Arabidopsis thaliana: one gene and its partner. The protein of the gene in region 2 interacts with the protein of the main gene of each other region in a pairwise test. Each region holds a gene or a part of one and is shown on either strand. Other genes may lie near its edges.

The links.
Region 1: the proteins of LAX3 (region 2) and CAT6 interact in a protein complementation assay, tested with the Arabidopsis thaliana proteins (one large-scale study listed by BioGRID).

What each region holds. Positions count from the first base shown.
Region 1 is NC_003076.8:1,376,860-1,380,618, forward strand, and holds the start of CAT6 (cationic amino acid transporter 6), read left to right. Parts: upstream 1-1,761; 5' UTR 1,762-2,258; coding exon 2,259-2,661; exon of another isoform or gene 2,662-2,777; coding exon 2,778-3,346; intron 3,347-3,458; coding exon 3,459-3,690; intron 3,691-3,759. UniProt on the Arabidopsis thaliana protein: Permease involved in the transport of the cationic neutral or acidic amino acids.
Region 2 is NC_003070.9:29,201,503-29,205,261, reverse strand, and holds the start of LAX3 (uncharacterized protein), read left to right. Parts: upstream 1-1,843; 5' UTR 1,844-1,944; coding exon 1,945-2,115; intron 2,116-2,197; coding exon 2,198-2,383; intron 2,384-2,486; coding exon 2,487-2,599; intron 2,600-2,682; coding exon 2,683-2,866; intron 2,867-2,966; coding exon 2,967-3,064; intron 3,065-3,153; coding exon 3,154-3,619; intron 3,620-3,759. Other genes in the region: AT1G77700 (Pathogenesis-related thaumatin superfamily protein), read right to left, coding at 1-114, 440-515. UniProt on the Arabidopsis thaliana protein: Carrier protein involved in proton-driven auxin influx.

The DNA.
Region 1 (3,759 bases), on a different chromosome or scaffold from region 2:
TATCTAAAATTCAGATTTGACCATCCCACTCACTGTATAAACCACTCCACATTATCTTTTTTATTTATTTCATTATTACTCTTTTGTGTACCCAAAAATGTGAGACTTATTGGTGACCATACAAGTCATAATTTATTCTTGTCGAAATTAATTTATATATAAATGTATGCGTATGTGTGTTGTAGATACGAATATGTGTCAACGTTGCTGACACTAATCTAATTATCATTATTGTGAACAAAGAGAGGCTTAAGAGTGTTCGATTGAAGTAGATATTTAATACTATTTGTTTGGATAAGGTAGTGTTAATTCAATGCAGTGCGCGGCCAACCAAAAAATAAAAAGATCAATTGCAACGTGTATCCAGTTACGGGTATGATTGGGAGCGATAGAACTTTTACATAAACATACACAAATCATTCTACAACACTTTTTAATCAAGTTTCATAGATGGTTAGATGAGTTCTATTCGAATTAACCTTATAGTGAGTTTTGGTGTGGTAAAAATAGTGTTGATTTTGGATTACATATACACATGCGGTTAGTTGGTGGTGTTGGTGATTTTGGATTTTGGATTTCAGTGAACAGCATCAAAGGCTCCGAGTTCGACCCATGAAAATAAAATCAGTCAATCCATTGCTTCTTCTTCATCTTAAAGCGTCGAGTCTAATGCCGATTTCTCTATGGAGAATACTCATCAGGATCATGATACAACCTGCAAACATGTTGCGTTGCCCTTATCACAGAGAACAGATCACTCATCTTTTTTTTCAAGAACTCACTCATGCATATTACCACTCACACATACTATCAAATAACACGGCACTAACACTAAAACAAATTACTAAGTTACAAACTGTACCAACACAAGATTTGCGGTTATTTATTCCTCTAAGTACCAAACTATTCGTGTCCTCGTTTTAAAACATTTAAATGCAGAGACAAAATCAGTTGAAGAAGACCTTAATTAGCTGCAAATATGCGATAATATTTTCCTAGTAATGCCAAGTTGCCAACTATAAAAAATGAGAAGATTGTCGAAAAGAACCAACTAATTACAAAAACTCATTTCCTCAAATTCTGGTCACGCTTCGCTTTAAACCTGTGTGCTTATCCATTGAAAACAAAACAACATCCCACGTGTCACCTTCTTTGCCACACGTGTGAATCTTAAACCACACATAGCCGTTAGAGGTAACGTCGTTACCGTGTCTTATGATATACGGAAGTTAACGCCGTTTGTTTAGTTTTTTCTTTTTAACGTCCGTGACGGTTTCATAACCTCGGGAACTAAGTAAGGAAGAGCTTTTGAAGCAGAGAGTCGTTACGTTTCAAACAACCGATCATAGTCATAGACACAATTATGGTATTAATTTCATTAATTAGTACTAATTCCCTATCAATTACAAGGAACGCAATTACAAAATTTTGTCTATAATAACATCAATTTTAGACCCTCATTTCAAGGAAAAATGTGGGAATGATTCTCCAATGACATATTTATGATTAAAAAGTTCATTTCTCAGGTTCGAAATATTTTGACCATTTTGAAATATACTAATAATGTTGTTTAAAAACATATCTTATTAGAATGTTTATATGGTGTTATAGTGTTGAGATATTTTTTTTAAATATAAATAATTGAGTACAAATCTATAAATTTAAACAATAAAGAGTGTTATTAACAATTAATGATAAGTAGTAAAAAAAAAAGAATATTCTTCAATAAAAACCGTAATTCATTTTTTTCCTATTTTTTAAAAAACAAAACAAAATAAGATAACCATAGGAAATGCCACTCTGTTACAACTCAGCAGTCTAATGATATTTAATAAAATACCAATTTTAGTGGTTTATGGTCAACAAAAATAGTTTACAAGCTTAGCTAGATGTGAATACATACTATATACTACCAAACTAGTTTATGATTTGTATATGAATCAATAAAAGCGTTAGCATAATTAGTATATATAAATGTAACTGTAATTGGACCAAAGAGATAAAGCATCTTGGGTTTAGTAAGCTTTTGAGCTGATGATGCTTATGTGATTAATGTGAATATAAGAATTAGGGAACAATCTTGTTGTTAATAACAATACTTATAACATTTAAATGCCCTTAAGTATCGTCATAATTACATCTTTGTCCCTATCCTTCTCTTTTTCACTTTTCCTAATCTCTAATATAAAACCAACTCTTGTCAAATTCAACAAAATTCTCACACAAACCGACCCGACCCGAATCTGGCCGGTGAGAAAATGGAGGTCCAAAGCAGCAGCAACAATGGTGGTCACTCTTCTTTCTCCAGTCTCCGCGTCTACCTCAACTCTCTTTCCGCGACGCCTTCTCGCTTATCCCGCCGCGCTATTTCCGTCTCCACCTCTTCCGACGAGATGAGTCGCGTCCGCGCCGTCTCCGGCGAACAGATGCGCCGTACTCTCCGGTGGTACGATCTCATTGGACTCGGAATCGGGGGAATGGTCGGCGCCGGTGTCTTTGTCACCACCGGCCGTGCTAGTCGTCTCGACGCCGGTCCTTCAATTGTCGTCTCTTACGCCATCGCCGGGCTCTGCGCTCTCCTCTCCGCTTTCTGTTACACCGAATTCGCCGTCCATCTCCCGGTCGCCGGCGGTGCCTTCAGCTACATCCGTATCACATTCGGTTAGTCTCCCGCGAAAATCATCACTACTCCTCCGATCTGTTCACGGTTTTCTGAAAATTTTAATTTCAAAATCAAAAACCGTAACTGATTTCTTTTCTGTTACATTTCCGTTCAGGTGAATTTCCAGCATTTTTCACCGGAGCAAATCTTGTAATGGATTACGTAATGTCAAACGCGGCCGTTTCGAGAAGCTTCACCGCTTATTTAGGAACAGCTTTCGGGATCTCAACTTCCAAGTGGCGATTCGTCGTCTCCGGTTTACCGAAAGGATTCAACGAGATTGATCCAGTCGCAGTTCTCGTCGTCCTCGTAATCACAGTCATCATCTGTTGCAGTACAAGAGAGAGTTCCAAAGTGAACATGATAATGACTGCATTTCACATCGCATTCATATTCTTCGTGATCGTGATGGGATTCATAAAAGGAGATTCAAAGAATCTATCCTCACCGGCGAATCCAGAGCACCCCTCGGGATTTTTTCCGTTCGGCGCGGCGGGAGTTTTCAACGGAGCTGCCATGGTTTACTTAAGCTACATAGGATACGACGCCGTTTCAACCATGGCGGAAGAAGTTGAAAATCCGGTCAAAGATATCCCCGTCGGTGTTTCCGGCTCCGTCGCAATCGTCACCGTTCTTTACTGTCTCATGGCAGTCTCTATGTCAATGCTTCTGCCATACGATCTGGTCCGTACTTCAAATTTATTATTTTCTTATTGTATATTTCCGTTTTCATAAAGACGGCACGTAGTCTGAGTCTAAAGCTGAAAACGGCGGGGCATGTGTTGTTGTAACGCAGATAGATCCGGAGGCGCCGTTTTCCGCGGCGTTCAGAGGATCGAACGGCTGGGAATGGGTGACGAAAGTGGTGGGGATAGGAGCAAGCTTTGGGATATTAACATCACTTTTGGTGGCAATGTTAGGTCAGGCTCGCTACATGTGTGTCATCGGACGGTCCAGAGTGGTCCCCTTTTGGTTCGCTAAGATTCATCCCAAAACATCTACGCCAGTCAACGCCTCCACTTTTCTTGGTACGTTTCTTTGTCTTCATTCATTCATCAAAAAAACATTTATTTAATTACTGTCAAACAAACAATGAT
Region 2 (3,759 bases):
GGTGAGAAAGAGTAACAAGATCCTTGGTGACAAACCGAAACGAATTGGCATCTTTACTAGAAAATATTTTAGGATCAAATGTAATGTTATTTTCTGATCTTGAAGTGAGACTGGCTTTTTAAGGGAGGAAGAAAGAATAACTTGCATGGAGAGTCTATCGGTACAATTATAATAATCGGTTGTAGTACTATATGTGTTTTCAAATAATTAAGGTTCCTTGTTTTGGAATATGGGAAAGAGTTAGTTAGTGTTATTCGTTTCCTGATGTTTCATGCAAGTATTCTTTGGGATGCTGTTAAGGTAATCAAAGTCCAAATGGCCAAGGATCTATACTGTATGTGGCTTTTTATCTGTCTATTTGTATCTTCTATTATTGAATTTGGATAATCTTGTTGATATTGATTATTTTAGCCTTCATGTCATGGGTCAATTCATCTACCTACTGATATATTAGGCCTAATTAATGAATCATATGGCCCATTTATGTCGAACTCAATCTCAATTGTTCGGTCCATTCTTATATTCTGCTTTTTGAATATTACACCATTAATAAATTTGTATAGTCATGATCCTTTTTTTGGTTAAACAGATTTTCTGACGAAGATAAATTGATGAAAATCAAAACAAATCTCACAATCTTTGTCGTTATGGGAACCATCTGTAACCATCCAGTAGAATCGAGTTCCTGGTTTCAAGATGTCAAATTATTTAACTACAATGACTCGCCATTTTTTCAGTATTATTACCAATGATATCTGAATATCTGCTCTATTTAGGGACGACAATATTATATCTTTTGGAGATATCTCAATAGCCTAAATAAGGTTGAATCACAAAAAAAAAAAAAAAAAAAAAAACATTTGAAAATGCATATTTTAATGTCAATTGGCGATGAGTCTTCTTTCCGCTGCCATCCATTTTGGCCGGGTTAAAAAGCTATAAAGATCTAAAATGATGATACCTTCTCATTAATAATTCGATCCATTGTAAAAGTATGGGGCTAAAAAGGAGACATTTCTAAGAAATTAGTGAGTTAAATAAAGCTTAGACAGCTAGACACGTGTGGTAATTATGTTTACCACTAATCCCACCTGATTAGCAATCATTCTTTCCATTGGATCCATCTCCAATCCTCGATTACCTCACAAATCACTATTTCTTCCTCTCTTTTAACCAAGTTTTTCTACTTCTAAATCAAGCGTTTGGATGTGCGATGCCATATGGTAGACAAAGGCATAAATTTATGTAATTTCGAGTTCCAGGTAACAGCTATGTAATATAATCGGACAAAACATAAAAACTTAGAAATATAATTGATTATTCTACATAAAGATCGTTATCATCCTCATCACAAGAAGGAGGAAAGGACCAATATGTTTTATTCATTGTTTCTAGTTGTTACAATCATCATGATTCAAATAATTGTTAATGATAATAATAGTTTAGCCTTTCTTTCAAAAAAAAAAAACATCATTGTCATCACTTCTATTTTCAATTTACAATTAGTCTACTCTCACTACTTTAAACTTTAAAATCTATAATTAGCTAACCCTCTTTTTTTGCATATTATCGGGGTCAATATATAATTAACAATCTCAAACCGGGCCTACCCGTTCGTGTAATGCTCCAGAAATATGGCCCATAAGCCCAACAATCAAATCAAGCCCATTAAAAAAACAACGCCACGCTCGCCGAAAACAGTAACAGTCACAAGTAGGTGACATAACTCAGTCACCAACCAATCATAAACCGATATCCCCATGACAACTCGTGAGCTGTGACTAAAGACTTCGTCCCCCGACACTCGTTACTCAATAATTGCACACAGAGCAAAAGAAAGGAAACAAAACCCATAAAACAAATAAATAAATGAAAAAGCTTTTCACTAGTCTATTTAAAGAGTGGAAGTAAAGAAGCTAAAGAAACTGAGAGAAGAAGAGAAAAATGGCGGCAGAGAAAATAGAGACAGTGGTCGCAGGGAATTACTTAGAAATGGAGAGGGAAGAAGAAAACATAAGTGGTAACAAGAAATCTTCAACTAAAACAAAACTCTCTAATTTCTTCTGGCATGGTGGTTCTGTCTACGATGCTTGGTTTAGTTGTGCTTCAAATCAGGTATGTACTTCCCACAGATTTAGTCTTATATATAGATGTGTATGTATCGTCTTCTATAGCTAAATTGTTATAAAAATGGCAGGTGGCACAAGTTCTGTTGACATTACCATACTCGTTCTCACAACTTGGGATGATGTCGGGAATTTTGTTTCAACTCTTTTATGGATTAATGGGAAGTTGGACTGCTTATCTCATTAGTGTTCTTTACGTTGAATATCGAACTCGTAAAGAACGAGAAAAATTCGATTTCCGTAACCACGTTATTCAGGTTTTATTCCACCTCTAATTCTTGTGACTCGTTATAATTTTTTATTTTTTTGGTGGTATTATTGAATTTTAACTTTTTGTTTTTTTTTGTTTGTGTAAAAAAGTGGTTTGAGGTGTTAGATGGATTGTTGGGGAAACATTGGAGGAACCTTGGATTGATCTTTAACTGCACTTTTCTTCTCTTTGGATCTGTTATTCAGCTCATTGCTTGTGCTAGGTAAATTAATAATCAATGTTCATTTTCTTTATTATATGGTTTTTTCATATTGAAAATTAATTAATATAAAAAATGATTTGCAGCAATATATATTATATTAATGACAAATTGGACAAGAGGACATGGACATACATATTTGGGGCGTGCTGTGCAACAACTGTTTTTATTCCTTCCTTCCACAATTATAGAATTTGGTCATTCCTCGGACTCGCTATGACCACTTACACTTCTTGGTATCTCACCATTGCTTCACTCCTTCATGGCCAGGTCATTATAATTAACACAAATCTTGTTTTGATTATTATAAGATATAGACATATAGTCCTGGTTATTGTTGTTTAATATATTTATTTTTCATATAAAAAAGGCTGAGGATGTGAAACACTCTGGTCCAACCACAATGGTGCTTTACTTCACCGGAGCCACCAACATTCTCTACACCTTTGGTGGCCACGCCGTCACAGTGTAAGTATTTTTTTTTTGTTTGGAAAAATAAAATGGCTTAATTAATGGCTTAACTAATTATGTATTGGAAATTTGAAAAAATATAATAGGGAGATAATGCACGCTATGTGGAAACCGCAAAAGTTCAAGGCGATATATCTACTAGCGACCATATATGTACTAACGCTAACGCTACCATCCGCGTCTGCGGTTTATTGGGCGTTTGGCGATAAGCTACTAACTCATTCCAATGCGCTCTCTCTTCTCCCTAAGACTGGTTTTAGAGATACCGCAGTGATCCTCATGCTCATTCATCAATTTATAACGTTCGGATTCGCGTCTACACCGTTATATTTTGTGTGGGAGAAATTGATAGGTGTGCATGAGACGAAGAGCATGTTCAAAAGAGCCATGGCTAGATTACCCGTGGTTGTACCCATATGGTTCTTAGCCATTATCTTCCCCTTTTTCGGACCAATCAATTCCGCGGTCGGATCTCTCTTAGTTAGCTTCACTGTCTACATCATCCCCGCATTGGCTCATATGCTTACCTTTGCTCCTGCTCCTTCAAGAGAGGTTAGATTTCCAACTTCCAAAATATCTATTTTAAAATTATAATTGTTTCATAAAAAGCTTGTTACAATTTTAGTATAAGTTTACAAAGAATAATTGGAAATAGTATATTATTAGTTTATATTAAAATTATTATATAGTAT